Canis lupus familiaris: one gene and its partners. The protein of the gene in region 2 interacts with the protein of the main gene of each other region in a pairwise test. Links are inferred from orthologs where the notes say so. Each region holds a gene or a part of one and is shown on either strand. Other genes may lie near its edges.

Region 1 (4,717 bases), on a different chromosome or scaffold from region 2:
GGGAGGTGGCAGGGACCAAGCAGGCATGTAGCAGGGGGGCCCAGGCCTGGGCAAGGCCTCCCTAATACCTCCTGGGTCAGAGGAGGCCAAAAGCTCGTGAAGGCAGCACCCAGAGTAGACCAGGCTACATCCCGGGAATCTCTGTCCTCAAGGCCCAAAAGTGACTCTTTTGCAAGATTCTCAGAGAGACAGCAGTTTCCCATCTGCCACCAATGGCTACTGAGCTGAGAAAGTGGGAACAGAGTAGAAGGCAGGTCACATTTATGTCTGTGGCAAGCTTCCTTTGGAGCCTACAGAAAAACCAGTGACTGACCCGTCACAAAGTAAACTGTCCCCACTGCTCAGAGTCACAGCTGATAGAATGTCACCAAAGCAGCTTCATCTACAAGAACCACAAAAATGTTCAGTACCACTGGCAGAGTGTCTCGGGGACATGAACAACTGCTAGGTACAAAACAACATCTTCTACTTCGTATTTATTAAATGCCGGGCAATGTTTGGGGCATTCTGGTTAATCCTCACAGTGACCTACACATTTTACACTCTCACTTGCCAGATGAGGAAGCTGAGGCCCAGAGAGCTTACCAAGTAACTCGCTGCTGAGCAGGGAGGCTTACATTTGGGTTCACCAGGCCACTAGCATCCCATGGACTTGCAGACTTTCCACTAAAATTCACATTCCACTTGCACCAGTACCCCAGGCCGACAGTTTTGTGCATTTGACCCTATGACACATGTTGTACTTGGTGCTGACAGCAGTGAAAAAGCAGGCTGAGATCCTGTCCTCACAGTGTGGTGTCTGGCTAGCAGTGAGATAGAGGACGACGAATGGGCAAACCCATGATTACAGATGGTGAGCGGAGCTGAGAAGGGAAGGAGCGCATTGATACAGCAGAGAACAGGGTGCATCTACTGAGGGGCATGCCCGGGAAGGCCTCTCTGAGGAGTTCAGGCCTCAGCTCCGCAGTCAGGAAAATAAGCCTGCCCCAGGGGAGGGAGGTGGCTCACCCCTTCTAGGACCTCACCCCCACCTCCAAAGCACCCAGTACCTGGACAATATAGAGGCAGGGGCAGTACTGGGCCCCTCCTCCGATGCTGATCCCGATCAGGTTCTGAGCATCCTTCTGTAGGGTCACCTTCCCAGGCACAGTAGGGATTCCACTAGAAAGAGAAGCACATGTGGCCGAATCTCCTGGGAGGATTCCTTAAAGGGGACGAGGAAGGAAGCCCCTGAGAGGCTCCAAGTGCTGCTCAGCTTTTTCTTTTCTCAATTGGCCAAAAAGACAGTGTCTGGCGCTGGCACATGTGCAGCTCTTAGGAGTCCTGCAGATGCAGGATCAGATCCCGGCTCTGCCACTGACCATCTACAGGACTTGGATAAGTAAGTCACCTCTGTGCATCTCAGTTCCCTCAGCCATAAAATGGTATGGATGGAAATGGCTTGCTACTTGGTGAAAATTCTTATAAGAAAGCACACGAAAGGCACTTAACACCAGTCCAGCCCAGAGCAGGCACTCCATGAAAACAGATTCCCCCTTCCCTCTCCTTCATCCTGTCTCTGAGGCCTGATCCAGACTCTGTCCTTCTCACCTTCTCAGGCACAGGTGGAACATTATGGCCACTTGCTCCAGGAAGCCTTCTCCTCTTAAATTATCCATCACCCATCTCTCAGTTGCTCTGCTCAATTACCTCTCAATTTTCAGTATAAACCAGCACTTGTTTATGTTCTGCTGTAAATATTTGCCTCCATTCACTTATTCATTCAACAAACCAGCAACCTACTGATGGTGAGTCGAGCACCATACTAAGTGCTGAGGATGCAGGCAGTGGACTGATGGAGGGCAGATTTTAGTTGAGAGACTAACAATTTCTGAAAATCTGTCCTACTAATTACCTATACTGGGAAGGAAAGTATGTTTACAATACTCCCATTCACCTTCAAAACCTGGCTCCACTGCCACCTCCTTTTTGAAGCCTTCCCTGAACACCCCAATCAAGAGACTGCTCCTCTGCTCTCTCCTTGTAGCCAGGCCATTCTCCATTAGTACCCACGTGGCCCTGACTTGTCATCTGCTAGGGTGTCCGCAGCCCCCTACAGATGGTGAGCTCCTGGAAGGGCAGGGTCCATTTCTACTATAGAACAAGACCTACTTAACCCCCGCTGAGAAGCAAGGGTCTGTGGAGCTGGGAAGTCTGGGGATCTGGAGGCCCCGGGGCTCGTGCATTCCTGGGACTTGGAAGGAACAAAATACTCACAGTTTATCCTCCTCGATGTCATAATCCAAGTCTGCAAACATGGTTCCGAGAGTTGAGGTGGGCTGGCTGACTGCCCAGCTCGGCAGGGGAATGGGGAACTGGACCAGGGAGAGAAAAGAGCGTAGGGTTCAGGGACCCGAAGTGCCTAGATGTCAACCTCCACCCGGGGGATACGGGGGGAGCCGGACCCTCCCCTGTCCCTCTGGACGGTGGGGGTAGTCCCCGAGGTTGGGGGGCGGGAAGGGACGGGATTCTTACTAGGTAGAGGGGGGAGTTCCAGGCCAGGGCGGTGAGCTCACACCCCAGAGCCCGCCCCACGGATCTCCAGGCCCTTGGGAGCCACCTCTGTCGCTCACCGGAAGCGTCGGTCCCACAGCCGGGTCCAGGCCAGGCTGGCACCTGAAGCCACCTGCCGTTCCACCTGTCGGCGGCCGCGACTGTCGCGTCACTTCCTCTTTTACGCGGAAGTCCCGCCTACCTGACCACCCGGGTATTGGCCCCAGTTCTTGCAGACAACCCTCCCTCCCTGGCTCCGGGCTCTCCCAGAGCCAGAAAAGAGCCCAAGTATTGACGGAAGCTCGCCGTTAGCACGAGAAAGCGGAAACAGAGGAAAGGTCTGGAAGGGCCGACGACGCTCAACCCCGCCCTCTGCCCCGTGGCCGCCGCCATCTTGGTGAGGGCAGGGCTCTTCCCAGCTTCCTCCGCGGGACGCCGGGGACCACGCCGGCCGAGCGGTTGCCGTGGCAACGGAAGCATCCTTGGGCGCGGAGGCTTCCGGCGAAGTTCAGTGGAATGCAAACCTTTTCATGTTTTTAGCACCTTGGCCTAGGGTGCTGAGTCTCCTCTACTAGGATGTCAGCCTCCGAACTGGAAGGACCCTTCGAGGCTACTCTCAGTCTGCGACCAGGAAACTGCCAAAAAAGAGAAGAGATTTTGTCCAGAGCCGCCCACCGTTGGTATAAGGTCAAGATCTTGACCCTGAGACTCCTGCCACCTAGTGCAGCGCCCCTTTAACGCCTGCACACTTGTATTCAGTGGCTCTGTTAACAGATTGGGCAAGTTACCTGCCGTTGCCTTTATGTGCCCCCTTTCGCCGTATGCAAACAAAGAGCACTGAGGCAGATGCTTTCTATGGTATTTGGTGAGAGACTCCTCACACCTCATCTCTGTCTTTAGTCCTGAGGAGCAGCCCCCCTGAGGCCCACGGAGGATCACAGCTTCCTTCCAGGGGCGGCGGAGGAAGGAGCCCCACCCCACCCCGCACCCCCTCTTTAGGAAGCCCATCGGAGTCCCGGTAAATGTGCAGAATGCCACAGTAGCGGGGACCTTTCCATGTACCCACTGCTCTGCAGCTCAGGTGACTCACAGGGCCTCAGAGTTCACCATGACCCTGTGAGAGGAGGACATGGGTTGTCAGCCACATTGTGCAGGTAAGGAAACAGGCACAGAGAAGCAGCTTCTCCTCGTCTCACAGTCAGTGGCAGAGCTAGGGCTGGAACTTCCAAACCCTGTTCAGGCCAGGATTTTAATTTTAAAAAGCAGCAACTGGGGCACTTGGATGTCTTAGTTGGCTAAGCATCTGATTCTTGATTTCCACTCAGGTCATGATCTCACGGTCATGGGATAGAGCCCCGCCTCTGGCTCCTTGCTCAACTCAAAGTCTGCTTGAGATTCTCTCTCTCCCTCTGACCCTTCCCCTCCCACATGTGCTGTCTTGTTCTCTCTCTCTCTCTCTCAAAATAAATAAATCTTTAAGAAGAAGAAGAAGAAGAAGAAGAAGAAGAAGAAGAAGAAGAAGAAGAAGAAGAAGAAGAAGAAGAAGAAGAAGAAAACGACACCAGCCTCCAAAGCCAGACACTTTAACAGGAACTGTGACTCCTCCACCCATGACTCTTAGCTCAAGCCCATGTTCTGCCATTTTATAACTGGGTGATCTTGGGTAAGTCACTGCCTGGCTCTGAGCTTCAGAAATCCATAGACCAGGGGAAAATGATCCTCCCAACAGGTACTTGTGAAGGTCAAGATGAAGAGGTCCATCTGACCTGCCTGATTGGGACATTTGCTTTATTGCGGTGTTCTGGAGCCAAGCCCCATGTCTCCGGGGCCTGCTTGTACAGAGAATAAGATCTGCCCCCGACCTCGGGAGGGACTTTCTGCCTGGAAAGATAAGAAGTGCTTACTCTGGTGAGAGAACAAGTTATTTGACCTTTATTTCCCCTCAAATTCATGGTCCAAACCTCACCCCCTTAATTGGCTGGGACAGGTTTCCCTGCTACTAGGGAGACCCAGGAGTTGACCCAGGAGACGCCCTCCACTGATGAAGTGGTTTGTAATATTTTCCCACTAATAGGCATTACCAAACAATCCAATTGTCTTTCCTTGTTTGTCACAGTGACACCACCCATTCATTGATGGCTTCCTGGCATCCCCTGGAAGGTGCCATGGGTTATAAAGTTCATAC
Region 2 (4,015 bases):
TTCCGATTCACAGTGGGTCAAATTGTGTTGCAAGAGACATATAGAGTTAAAACATGATAATAACACACAGAGTTTACAGGGCAGGTGTGAGTTCTGTCCACGTTCTGACTGGGGATAAATCTGCTTAAGCCCTTGTGTGTTGATGACTTTCTTAAGGCCTTTCCTGATTTTATTACTGTATAGCCAAAATTTTTTTCATTTGTGTACTGTGGCTCATTTTTTTGTCAGGCATGTGCTGGTCATACTTGCTGGATGGACTGTGTAAATCAGGGCTCTGCATCCTATGGCTCATAAGGTGATTTTGAGTGTCATGGCCAAAGTCAGCCCCAGGCACAGTCAAGAAGTAGGCAAAGCTTCTCTTTGCCTTCCCAGCTTTTCTGTCAGTGCTTCTTTCTTCTCTCCCAGTACCTTCCATTGAACACTGTCCCCACCTGCCAGTTCCTACTGTCTTTCTTGCTCAACTGTGTATCTACTATGTAACTTGCTAATGATGGTATAAGGTATAATCCATCTCACAAATATTTGCATTTCAAAAAGGAACTCTTTAAGATGGAAAAGCCTTCAAGATCCACAGGAAAGAAGCTATAATGGTGAAGCTATAATTGGTCATTAGCTCCAACAGAGGAAGAGAGAGAGGTAGTAGAGTTGATATTCTGGAGTGGGGGAGAGAGACACCTACTCCTAAGGCCAACCTTGAACCTAACCCCTAACCCCTCTCCCAACAGTCTGTTCTTTTTGCTGTTGAAGTCCCACCTCACCATAGAGCTCTATTCCCCCACTCCCATCCCCCTATATCATTAACCCACCCCCCTATGCATAATGAGTTTATCTTAATAATTCCTTTATTAATGATAAATTATTTCAGTGGGAGTGGGAGGGAAGGTTGTGGACCAAGCATCAGGCAAGCCTATCCCCTTTCAGCTAAATTCAATCCCTCATCCCACGAAAGACCCTTCGCTGACACAGTTGCCATGGTGGCCTTTGCCACCCTCTCAGAGGTGACCAAAATGTATGCATTCCCCTCTGTCCCTGGGCCAAACCTTGTTAAAAGGAACTCTCTTTATAGAGGTTTTGTTTATCAAGGTATTGCATTTAACTGTTGTAGACAACTTTTCCTCCAGAGAGCGCAGATGTTTAAAGGAGCACAGCTGTTTAATGATGTGGCATACTCAGGTTTGAACTTAGATGGCTAATAAAATACCTTTTATTTTTTTTTAACGAGAACCAAAAACATTTAAAATCAAAATTACCTCAAATATTGTGAAACCCTTCATTTTGAATTTAAGATAATTTGTTTTACAAAATGGAAGGTGATAATACTCTTTGGGCTTGTAAAATTGGGAAGAATATTGGATTGCCCCTGAAACGTCTCTGGAAGCTTCTGTTAACCTAACTTTTTTTTTTAAGTCGGACAACGGTATATAACTTTTAACTCTTGATAGGAACTAATTCTGAAGCATCAAATGCTTCTGAAACAGAATCTGACCACAGAGACGAACTCAGTGATTGGTCATTAGCTCCAACAGAGGAAGAGAGGGAGAACTTTCTGCGCAGAGGAGACGGACGGCGACGTGGTGGTGGAGGAAGAGGACAGGGAGGAAGAGGACGTGGAGGCGGCTTCAAAGGTACAGAGGTGTTCTTTTCTAATAATAAAAGGTGAATTTTAACAACTGTCTGAAGTCCTGTGAAAGATCGTGGTGATTCAAGGACGTATTACTAAAACCCTCTTTTCCTGTTATATACTGGTCACCAGAGGAAAGGCTCAGCAGTAATCAACAGAACATTAGCCTTTCCATGGTATGTGTAGAATACACAAATAAACACTGATGACTAGTTCAGCTTCTTTGGGGATTCTATGCATAACCTGTGATCATTAGCTCAGGCTGACTGTAACATAATTGATGCAGAATTGTAATGCCTATTTTCTCCTGCTTGGTACCATGCTAGATTTCTGAGCATTATGTACCTGGAATCACTAGATTGTTGATTATATTTTAGATTCTGTGCTCTAAATAAGTTGAGAATGTGGGAATAAAGAACTTCCAGTAAGCACGTCAGAATCAGTAACTGTTGAATGTCTTAAAAATGACCTATAGGAAATGACGATCACTCCCGAACAGATAATCGCCCGCGTAATCCAAGAGAGGCTAAAGGAAGAACAGCTGATGGATCCCTCCAGGTAAACCTGTGTGCCACTTTTCATCTAAATTATTTGAATTACTGTAGTTTGAGACTTACAAGTTTATTTTAATTTTTAAACATATTCAAAAGTTGTAAAATTGGTATATGTGAAAGATTTTCAACATTACATTGTGGGCAATCCTAGTTTTTCATGACAAGTATACAAAGATTTCCCTAGAGAATATGCGGTCTTAAGCATTTGTGAAGACTTTGACAGCTCATCAGGACTTAGTTCCAAGTTGGTGGTTCTCCCCGAATTCCCTGAAGAAAAGGGACATCCTGGAATATACTGAGAGAGAGAGACCTCAGTAAACCCTGTTGATCCCTCTTCCCCTTAGTTGCAGAGATAGGGTGATCTCTTTGAGTGGAAAGTAAGGAAAAGAAGGTGTCTATCTCATAGGTAATATGAGAGGGCTGATGATGCTCTCAGCTAGTACATGCTGAATCAGCCAGCTGTTTGTTTATAACCAGTCTCTATTCTGGGAATCCCATTTCAGTTGGTTATGACCTATGCTGACCCCATTGTTAAATAATTTTAAAATTACCCCTGGGGGATGTCGGACACCGTTGCTAAGTGGTTTGTGTGTGTTGTGTTATCTCATTTAATCTTTCAGCAGCCCCTGAGGTAAGTAGTTTTATTTTTCTATTCTTTAGGTGAGTAAACTGAAGCTTTTAGAAAGATTCAGTCCTTTGTCTGTGGTCACATAGTGAGCATACATATAGTAGAGTGATATTTGAGCCCTGGTGTCTGATTCCCAGAACCCATAGTCTCCTCTGCTCCTTTAACTCTCAGTTCTTAGTCTAAGTAGTTAGGGTTCCTTACTGACTACAGATTGGTTTGGGACCAACACCAACATTAGTGGGATGCTTTTTAAGAGCAGAAACTTCATGACAGAATATTCCTTAGGAGTCATAGCAATTGTAAGTAAGTGTTAACTATTGGCAAGTTCCCAAGGAATAGAAAAGACCTTAGATTGAGATAAAGAGATGATGAAATGATGTACATATGTGTGCTTTACAAAGATGTAAGGCATTTATCTGTTGGCCTTGTAATTCCCCACTTAAAGTGTGTCCCATGAATTTGGCAATCTGGTCATATTGGTTAAAAGGATGCGTGTTCATAATTATATTTATAATTAAAACAGGACATCAAATAAAAAGGTTGTATTTTCTGTGTAGGAGAATAGATCCAAGTTAGAGCACTAAATCCTTGACAGCCAAACATTTAAAACATACACTGACCTCTCTCTCTCTCTCTCTCTCTCTCTCTCTCTCTCTTTGTGTCTCTCATGAATAAATAAATAAAATCTTTTAAAAAAAAACATACACTGAGGGATGCCTGGGTGGCTCAGTGGTTGAGCCTCTGCCTTTGGCTCAGGGCGTGATCCTGGGATCTAGTCCCACATTGGGTTCCCTGCAGGGAGCCTCCTTCTCCCTCTGCCTATGCCTCTGCCTCTGCGTCTCGTGTATAAGTAAATAAAAATCCTTAAAATAAATAAACACACTGAGACACCCAACATGTGAACACACTTTGAAATTACAGCAAACCATTTTGAGATATATGTAGCATTTGTACTGGAAGCAGATCAATATTTGTAGTTGTTTTAAGCCCACTGGTCAATATTATCTTCCTTTTATACAGCATCTGGAATTGTTAGCAGTGTTTTAAGTGTTCCATGTTGGCACTTATAAGTGTTCCATGTTGGCACTTATATTCCAAGATTTATAGGATACTTTTATTTTCTGAATTGCATTCATCTTTACACATGTCTTGGGATTCTACTCCTTCCACATATTAGTATTGTCAAATTTCCCTATACCATCATATTCTTCA
Region 3 (4,795 bases), on a different chromosome or scaffold from region 2:
TTTTTGTTTCTCTTAAGCAACTTGTTCTTGAAAGGTGAAAAGACAAGGAAGGAGTAGCAGGGGAAATGTGTCTTCCAGAAATCCACAACATCCAACATAGTATGTCCTCTAGAATGAAGATCCAATCTCTCTTGTTACATAATCACTGACACTCAAAAAACTAAGGATCACAGTGGAAAATGAAAAATTAAACAAGGAAGGAAGGAAGGAAGGAAGGAAGGAAGGAAGGAAGGAAGGAAGGAAGGAAGGGGAGAATGAAAGCAAGCAAGCAAGAAAAGAGAAACTCAGTTCGGTTTTTAAAGCCATCCTCCACAAACACCTCCACAGCTTTCTCACAGGGAAGAAATGTGTGTGTGTACATATATATATAAGTCATCCTTTCTGAAATAGCAATTTAAATTGGAGTGAGTGATGTAACATCAAACCATAAAGGATCATGAATTCTGAGGGTTTGGGAAGTGGTGTGAGATCCATGAGGGCAAAGATTCCTCAAGTCCTTTGCCAGAGACTCCAGTAATACGCCCCTCTATAATTAGCCCCTAAATAGGAATAGCTGAGTGATTAAGTATAAATTTGTGGGCCCTGGGCAAACACTCCAGAAAGCTTCCCTTGTAACAGGACTTAATTCTTTGTATCTGTACACACTTTAAAACGTCTCGAATGCTTTCCAGTGTTTACCCTGTGAAGTAGGAAGGGCAAGCATTACCCTCACGTTATAGACACAGTGGCTTCTCAGGAACAGTGTTGAAGTGACTTGGGTAGGGGGTCTCAAGGTTGGATCTGAGGGCCCACGAGGCTGCAGTTCAGTGAGGACTGTTCCTTTGAACAGCCCTCAACGCAGAACAAGGCTTCCTGTTGCCACGCATTTTCCCTTTTGTCCATTAGGCAATTCTCCCTCAATGAAGTCGAGGCAGAGCCTCCTTAGGAGATGGCACCTTCCGGGGGTTGGCTCCAAGGAACGGAGAAGGTATTCCTTTTTTTTTTTTTTTTAATTTATTTTTTATTGGTGTTCAATTTACTAACATACAGAATAACCCCCAGTGCCCGTCACCCATTCACTCCCACCCCCCGCCCTCCTCCCCTTCCACCACCCCTAGTTCGTTTCCCAGAGTTAGCAGTCTTTACGTTCTGTCTCCCTTTCTGATATTTCCCACACGTTTCTTCCCCCTTCCCTTATATTCCCTTTCACTATTATTTATATTCCCCAAATGAATGAGAACATATAATGTTTGTCCGGAGAAGGTATTCCTGAGCAGAGGAGCGGCACTGGGGGCCAGAATCAATGGGTTGGGGCCCCCTCGCCCCAGCCTCAGCTGTATTTCCCATCACTTTGCCCGGTTCTTTCCTTCACGGCACTTCTTCCCGCTGTCAGTGCGCGTTGGCCAGGTTAATGCGTGCCCCATCTCCCCTGGTAGGCAAGAAGCTCCAAAAGGGCAGTACACCGGTGCATACTCAGCTTCTGGCACGGGGCTCGGAACAAAGTAGCTGCTCAATAAATATTAGGTAGATAAATGAGCGCTTGGAAATAGAGAGTGAGGTCGATGAGCTCCGAGCGCAGCCCAGGGCCGCCCTCCCCGCCGGCGGCAGGTGTGGCTCCCGGCGAGCGAGACCTGAGCGCAGGTGCCGCCTCCGTCCCTTACGCGGGCCGCGCGGCCGGTCGTCCTGGGGCAGGAGCCGCGCGGCAGGTCGGGCGCCCCGGGAGCCCCTCGCCGCAGCCATTTCCTGCTCTTTGTGTGACGGCGGCGGCGGCGGCGGAGGGCCGGCCCCGCGCGGGGGAGGAGCCGGAGCCGGAGCCGGGAGCCGCGAGCCGCGAGCCGGGCGCGGGGGGCGGGGCGGGGCGGGGCGGGCCCGGGGGCGGGGGCGGGGCCGAGCGCGGCGGCCGCGGGAGCCGAGCGGAGCCGGGCGGAGCGGGCAGAGCATCCTGCGCCCCGGCGCGGGGCCCCCGGCAGCCTCGGGCCGCTCGCCTGGACCTGCCGCCGACGCAGGTAAGCGGCGCGGCGCTCGCGGGCCTGGGCGCCGGCCTGGGCGCCGGGATGCTGCGGGGGACGCCGGTGCGGCCGCGAGGATGCGCGGGGGGCCGGCGCCCCTCCACCCAGCCCGAGGGGGGGCGCTCGGCGCGGCGCCCCGGCTGGCGCGGCCTGGGGGACCCGGAGCCCCTGGGGCAGGGCTGCAGGCCCCGCGCGGCCCCTGCCGGCTCCGGCCCATCCCGGCCCCGCGGCGCGGACCCGGGGCGAGGAGGCGCGGACACGCGACGCAGCTCGGGCGCGGCGGCGGCGGCGGCGGCGGCGGCGGCAGCAGCAGGTGCGCGGCCTGGGCCGAAGCCGCGGGCCGGAGACGGAGCGGCGCTGATCCCGGCCGGGAGACACCTGCGGGGGCCGCGAGCCCAGCGGCGGCGACCCCCGGAGCCCAGGTACTGCGGAGCGCCGGCCGCCGCCTCCGCCGCCTCGGCCCATCCCCTCCTCCAGGGCCAGCGAGAGGCGCGTGGGCCCGCCTGGCGGCCGCCGGGGACAGCAGCGCCCTGCGCTGGGCGCGACATGGGTGGGGCGGGGGGGCCGCCGGCGACCGGGGGTGCGGGGCTTTAGCGAGGCGGGAGGAAGCCGGACCGCTTGGAAGCCTGCGGGCCTACGCTGGCATCCTCTGCCTCCCGGCTGCCTGTGGGCGGGGGAGGACACGGGGAAGGGGACGAGTGCGCCGAGTCCTGGGGAAAAGGTTGGATTTCTCTTGAGCCCTGAAGACATCAGGAGGATCGCCTACCTGTCTGTTGTGGCTTCTGCTTTTCAGGACAGCCCGCCCCCTCGATGGATGGGTGGAAAGGAAGAGGAGGGAGTGCTCTCTGTTTAGAGGTGGGGGTGGGGACGGGGGCAGGAAGCCTGGTCACGGTCAGACAGGAGGACGGTTCTCTGTACTGCGGAGACCCTGGCAGGAAAGGACCCTGGGACTGCCCTGGCCCTCCTCAGCTCCAGGAACCTGCCTTTGACCTCTGCTTGCCTACTGTCTCCAGTTGAGCCGAAGCACTCACCTAGAGCTGATGGGCCATCTGCTCCCCTTCCAGCCAGGACAAGAAGGTGGCAGGGGTCTTTCCCAGCTAGCTCTCGGGTGCCTGTGCCTTCCTGGCATGGGTAAGGAGACTGGGGCAGTCCTGCGGGCATGAGGGACAAATCAGAGTGCTGGTTCTCATACTCCTCTTTTCTAACTCCTACCCTGTCCCTCTTAGGGCAGGTTGTCTTATCTTACTTACCCTTAGGCACTGGCCCTGTGGGAGGCCATGCCGGTAACCCTGGAGATCACAGATGTTGGAGGGCAAAATTCTAGGACCATATCCCTGGGCAGGATTGCAGAGGCCTTGGAGGCAGTTTTCTCTGTGACTCTCCCTGAGGCCTCCCATCTCCAGCTCCAGCTCCATGTTCTGTGCTTCCCCTAGTCTCCTATGTCAAAAATTATTTTCAAGAGAGGAGCCAGTGAACATGTTTATCCTTAAGAGCTAAATACAAAAGAATTTGAAATTTGATGCAGAGCAGGTCCTTTAGAAGTCGTTTAACTGGAAAGGAAACAGAGGCTGGGAGGCATTTGAATGGAAAACAAAGCTTTAAGTCAACCTATTTGCTATCTCTAATGGTGGAATTTCAGGCAGTAGACTGGAAGTGGGAATGGGGAACTGGGTAGCAATGTTGGGGAACAGTCACTGAAATGACAGTATCTAGCATCTGTCAGCAATGTTTGCTGCTGGGGCAGAAATGCCATTGGAGTGTGTGTCTGTGTAACTGTCCAGGGGTTCCTGGCACTGGAAGGTATCTGTGGTGCACCCAGTATCCACTTGGGGGAGGTGAAACTTTGCTATAGAGAGTTATTCAGTGGTACTGGCTGCCATCTGCCTGGCCAGTTACTGAGCCACAAGAAGAGTGTGTTGTTGCTTACAAAGCCAGTGCTTTGCCTAGTTCTGAACACTGAGCCTCTGGCGGGGGGCATTAGCTGTCAGCTCACTAAGCTTCGTTATTATATTTCCTGGTAAGTTCTGACCAGTTCTGTAGGCACCCAAGCCTGCCCTGTTTAGTCTCTGCTGAAAGTAGAAACTGAAAAACTTGCTTTAGCCGTTAGGCCAAGAATGGGGTATATGATCCAAGAGAGTTCAAGAGTTTTTTCTCGAATCAAATCAGAGGCTGGCCCAGAAAAGGAAGTAGGCATTTAAAATTTAAAATCTGGAAAAGGGGGGGATCCCTGGGTGGCGCAGCGGTTTAGTGCCTGTCTTTGGCCCAGGGTGTGATCCTGGGAACTCAGGATCGAATCCCGCGTTGGGCTCCCGGTGCATGGAGCCTGCTTCTCCCTCTGCCTATGTCTCTGCCTCTCTCTCTCTCTCTCTGTGTGCCTATCATAAATAAATAAAATTTAAAAAATATATATATATATCATTAAAAAAATAAATAAAAATAAAATAAAATAAAATCTGGAAAAGGGCCCCAGGAGAACACTACATGTACCCTCTGATAAATTGTGCCCTCTTGGGTGTTCAGTGGGCCTTCTCTGCTGTCATTGACCAGCAAGCTGAATGAGGTGATGAATAGGCAATGAGCTAATTAGCATTGGAAACAGCACTCCTGGAAAACAGTACAGGGCTCCAGTCCCTACATTTGAGAATCGGCCTACACTCTCAAAGAGGTTTCTTTTGGCTGCTGTTGGCCCCAGGGTTCTACCAAGAGCTTCACAAAATGGCCTTTTGTAGCCTCCATGTGGCCACCATAACAATGCATCTATTTCTTTACTAGCAAGTATTAATTATTCACTCGTAGTTGATGAAACA
Region 4 (4,531 bases), on a different chromosome or scaffold from region 2:
GAGGCTGAGCATCTGCCTTTGGCTCAGGGCGTGATCCTGGGGTCCTGGGATCCAGTTCTGCATAGGTTCCCTGCATGGAGCCGGCTTCTCCCTCCGTGTCTCTCATGAATAAATAAAATCTTGAAAAGAAAAGAAAAGAGAAGAGAAGAGAAGAGAAGAGAAGAGAAGAGAAGAGAAGAGAAGAGAAGAGAAGAGAAGAGAAGAGAAAAGAAAAGAAAAGAAAAACGAAAAGAAAAGAAACGAAACGAGAGGGTTACTCTTTCGGCTTTACTCTTTTCCAATTTTGGTGTCAAAACCAGTCTGCAAATTAGAACAAACATTAAAGGAGATAAATAGGAAGCGTTTATTTGGCAAATACGAAGTGCCCACTCTGTGTGTTACAGCGAGAGGATCCTACTGTAAACGGTGCAGGAAGATACGACACAAGTCATTTTTTAAAAGTGTGTTAAGGGGAATCCCCGGGTGGCTCAGCGGTTTAGCACCCGCCTTTGACCCAGGGCGTGATCCTGGGGACCCGGGATCGACTCCCACGTCGGGCTCTCTGCATGGGGCCTGCTTCTCCCTCTGCCTGTGTCTCTGCATCTCTATCTACATCTCTGTCTCTCATGACACATAAATAAATAAAATCTTTAAAAAAAATTAAGTAGAAGAAAACCCCGTGGGGAGGAAAAAAAATAAAAAAAGGAAGGCGTGTCAATTCTTGGGAGAGTTTGGAAAAGCTTCCCTGAGGCCTTCGCTGACATTCACGCTGGGCCTTGGAGATCGGGGTAGGAGTTTGGCGGAGAGTGTCAAGAAGCCGAGCGAGGCCGGAAAGAGCCTAGAGAAACTCGGGCCTGGTTTCAGCACTGGACTGTGCGTGTCGGATTCAACGACAGGAACAGGGGCTAGGAGGGCGGGTGGGAGCATCTTCTGCAGAGCATCTTCTGCAAGGGCCCGGGAAGGCAAAAGGGCACGGAGGTTAGGAGCCCCGGCGGTCGGGCCTCGGGGTCCCCGTGTGTGGCATGGAAATAATAACAATCTTACTTCCTAACGATATCATCTTACACATATAATAACCACCTTACGCAGTCGCTAGGAGGATGAAGCGACAGTGTGTACCGAACGTCAGCGGAGGCTCCAGCCCATCAGGAGCTAAATAAGACACCATCGTCGTAACGATTCCCAGCATCTCCCCGCCCCCCCGCCACCCACCCCTCCACTTCCCGCTACCGCTGGAGAAGCCAGGTTAGCTGCGGTCGGCCGCGCCCACTTGCCCCTGCTCCGCCCTTCGAGGCCTCGGACGTCTCTTCACGGCGGGCCCGGGAAGGGGCGGGCAGGCGGGCAGCGTCAGGCGCCGCCGCTCACCGGGGCTGCGGTCTCGCTCCTCCTCCTCCTCCGCTGTCCCGCGAGCCTTGAAGCCGGGCGGCAGCGCCGGCCCGATCAGATCCCTCGCCATCCGCGGGGGCGGACACCGTCCGGCCCTACGACTCTAACCACACAGACTCCCGTCGGCCAAGAGGCAGCCCCGGCTCCTCGCGCCGCACTTGCCGCCCGCCTTTTTCCGGCGCCTGCCGATGACGTAGCAACCTGTGGTTGGCGGAGCCGCGCAAGTCGCGAAAGGCGGAAGTGACGCCTAAAGCCCGTTCCGCATTCGCACGCTCGGCTCGCTGCCTGGCGGGAGGCATGGCTGAGCCGGCTAGCGATTCCGTGGCTTCTGCGGGGTGGTTTCCGTCGTCCGAGCTGACCCCGGCGCTGGGGCCTCTGAGCGACCCTGCCTCGCTGCGGGACAACTGGATGCTCTGGGCAATGCTGCCGCCGCCACCGCCGCCTTCGTCGTCGCCTTCTCTGGGAGGGTCGGAGCCTTCCTCGGAGGGGCGGCCCTCCCGGGAGGCCCAGGCGCTCCCCGAGGCGCCCCCTCCCTTCGACGCCCAGATTCTCCCCGGGGCGCAGCCTCCCTTCGACGCCCAGTACCCCCTTGATGCTCAGCCTCCCCTCAACGGCCAGCCGTCCTGGAACTTCCAGGCTTCGACATCATGGTACTGGAGACAGTCGTCTGGTGCTTTTCGGGGGCATCAGAAGACTCCGGGTAGGCTGTTACCCCCGCCCCCTCCTTACCACCCTTTACTTTCCTTTTCTTCTCCCCTTCCTTCCTCTCCCACTTTCCCCTTTTTCCTCTTCTCTACTTCTGATTCTGTCCTGCAGTCCTGGAGTCTGTCTGCTCATCAACGTCTCACAATTTGTCGGACAGTAATGTTTTCCCCGCCTATTCAGTCCGGTTCAGGAGTTATTTATTTTTTCTTTTTAAAGATTTTGTTTATTTATTCATGAGACACACACACACACACACACACACACACACACACACACAGAGGCAGAGACACAGGCAGAGGGAGAAGCAGGCTCCATGCAGGGAGCCCGACGTGGGACTCGATCCCGGGTCTCCAGAGTCACGCCCTGGGTCAAAGGCAGGCGCTAAACCGCTGAGCCACCTGGGCATTCCCTGTTCAGGACTTATTTATCGAATTCCAGCAGTGTACCAGGAACTGGGGATATAGCAGTGATCGAAATATAACAAAAATCCTTACCTTTATGGAGCTTCACGTTTCCTGGTGGAGGAAGACGGAATAAAGCAGTGTGTATTAGAAGGCAGTGAGGGCCATGGCGAGATAGAGAGCCAAAGGGGAATGATAGGGAGTGCAGTTTTAAGTGTCAGTCGTTTTTTTTTTTTTTTTAAAGAATAAATAAAATAAGTGTCAGTCGTAAAGAGTCAGCTTCGGAGCAAAGGCTACAGGGAGGTGAGGGATACATTTGTGGATGACATCTGGGGGAATAGGGATGCAGGCAGAATGAAGTGCAAGTGCAAAGACTTGGAGGCGGGAGCTGTAGATCAGAACCGAAGCCAAGAGGAACAAGCCTGGGGACAGAACTGTAGAAGATCGGGGAAGAGGGCCGACCTGCTAGGGCCTTGTAGACAGTGGGACTTTGACTTTTTGCTCTTGTGATAGGGGGTGGTGCAAGGGAGTGACGTGACTTGATTTACATTTTAGAAGGATTAATGTGGCTGCTAATGGTTATTGATCTAAAGGGAAAGGAGTTAGGAAGGTATTGGAGTTACCCAAGTGAGAGATACTGGGGACTCGGGCCACCAGGGTGGAGCTCGGGGGATGGATGAAAGTGTTGGATTCTAGATCTGTTTGGAGGGGAGGGAAGGACCAACACGGTTTGCTCCAGGATCAGATGTAAGATGTGAGGTCAAGACAAGAATAACAAAGCCCCCGCCCCCCACCCCCCCAACAAGTGGAAGGATGGGAATGGAACAGATTTGGAAGGAAGACCCGGGAGTTGAGCTTGGAATATGTTGGTGTCAAATGGAGATATCGAATAGGCTGTTAGGTTGTACTTTTCAGGGGAGATTGGTGTCTGGAGCTGTGAATTTGGGTGTCATCAGCATATAGGTCATAGTTAAAGCCACAAGATTGTTCACTTAAAACCCTTCAATTCTGCATGAGCTTTAATTTACATCAACTCGAATCCAAATCAGCGTTTACTGCTTGCCGAATGCCGGGAATATGAATGTTCTAAGACAGTCCTGAGTCCAGTGAGACGGGTTCATAAATATAAGTCACAGCACAGCATGACTGGCGATGGAGGCATGTAGAGGAATTTGGGGAAGGCTTTTGGAAGAAGCGCGTTGGGAGATGTGTAGGGTTTATGAAGAGATACTTTTTAGGTATGGGCAAAGAGGTGTGAATACAAGGGGAGTTCTGAGAACTGCTCTGTTCTAGTGTGAGTGAAGCAAAGTAAGTGGAGGGTATGGGGGAAGAGTAGGATGAGAAAATAAACTGGGATCTCATTAAAGGGCTCTGGGAAGCCATTTATAGATTTTCCAGGATTGTGACCATTGGAGGATTATTTTTGTGGTGAAAATGTGTAGAGTCTGTTGGAAGAGAGGGCTTGCGAACTAGAAGACAGTCTGGAAGCCTGTGCTAGTAATCTAGGTGAAAGATAAGGTTTCAGAGTTGGGTCTTGGCAATAAGACAGGAAAGAACGTGAGAGAAAATGTATTTCACAACTCTGTTTTCCTGCTGTAAAGTTGATGCTGAAAGTGCTGTATTGGGATTTTATTATTTACATTTCTAATGCTTGAAATAACTGTAACAAATTTTATCAGGTTTGAGTGGCCATTTCTTTCTTTACTTTGACACCTAAAGCATGTATGGACGTGTAAATTGTTACATGTAAATATGTAACAACATATTTACTTGAAAAATACTTATTTGGTAGACTAGTCTTAATCTTTGTTAATTTGAACTTCTTCTTAAAAGCGGCAGTTTTTACTCAAGTATTTGTGACATGTTAGAACAAATAAAATTTAAAAATTGTATAGTTGCAAATATTTACAGGTTTCTTTTTGTTTTTTAGTTAATCATTCTTATTTTCCACGAAAATATGATGCAAAGTTCACTGATGTCAACCTCCCTCCCAGTAGAAAACAGAAAAAAAAGGTATTTTTAAAGATATTCTTGAATGTGACACTTGGGTCCCTAAGTCA

What was found. The genes of interacting proteins can lie anywhere in the genome.
Region 1: the proteins of FMR1 (region 2) and PICK1 interact in a two-hybrid assay, tested with the Homo sapiens proteins (2 studies listed by BioGRID and IntAct). The link is inferred for Canis lupus familiaris from reciprocal best matches to the Homo sapiens genes FMR1 and PICK1.
Region 3: the proteins of FMR1 (region 2) and CYFIP2 interact in a two-hybrid assay, tested with the Homo sapiens proteins (2 studies listed by BioGRID and IntAct). The link is inferred for Canis lupus familiaris from reciprocal best matches to the Homo sapiens genes FMR1 and CYFIP2.
Region 4: the proteins of FMR1 (region 2) and NUFIP1 interact in a two-hybrid assay, tested with the Homo sapiens proteins (2 studies listed by BioGRID). The link is inferred for Canis lupus familiaris from reciprocal best matches to the Homo sapiens genes FMR1 and NUFIP1.

Annotation. Positions count from the first base shown.
Region 1 is NC_049231.1:27,611,881-27,616,597, forward strand, and holds the start of PICK1 (PRKCA-binding protein), read right to left. Parts: upstream 2,918-4,717; 5' UTR 2,515-2,917; intron 2,355-2,514; 5' UTR 2,298-2,354; coding exon 2,257-2,297; intron 1,162-2,256; coding exon 1,050-1,161; intron 1-1,049. UniProt on the Homo sapiens protein: Probable adapter protein that bind to and organize the subcellular localization of a variety of membrane proteins containing some PDZ recognition sequence.
Region 2 is NC_049260.1:117,389,881-117,393,895, forward strand, and holds part of FMR1 (synaptic functional regulator FMR1), read left to right. Parts: intron 1-613; coding exon of another isoform or gene 614-801; exon of another isoform or gene 802-1,442; coding exon 1,443-1,625; intron 1,626-2,096; coding exon 2,097-2,179; intron 2,180-4,015.
Region 3 is NC_049225.1:53,777,390-53,782,184, reverse strand, and holds the start of CYFIP2 (cytoplasmic FMR1-interacting protein 2), read left to right. Parts: upstream 1-1,878; 5' UTR 1,879-1,985; intron 1,986-4,795. UniProt on the Homo sapiens protein: Involved in T-cell adhesion and p53/TP53-dependent induction of apoptosis. Does not bind RNA. As component of the WAVE1 complex, required for BDNF-NTRK2 endocytic trafficking and signaling from early endosomes.
Region 4 is NC_049243.1:6,004,684-6,009,214, forward strand, and holds the start of NUFIP1 (nuclear fragile X mental retardation-interacting protein 1), read left to right. Parts: upstream 1-1,614; 5' UTR 1,615-1,662; coding exon 1,663-2,065; intron 2,066-4,401; coding exon 4,402-4,484; intron 4,485-4,531. Other genes in the region: GPALPP1 (GPALPP motifs-containing protein 1), read right to left, coding at 1,345-1,435. UniProt on the Homo sapiens protein: Binds RNA.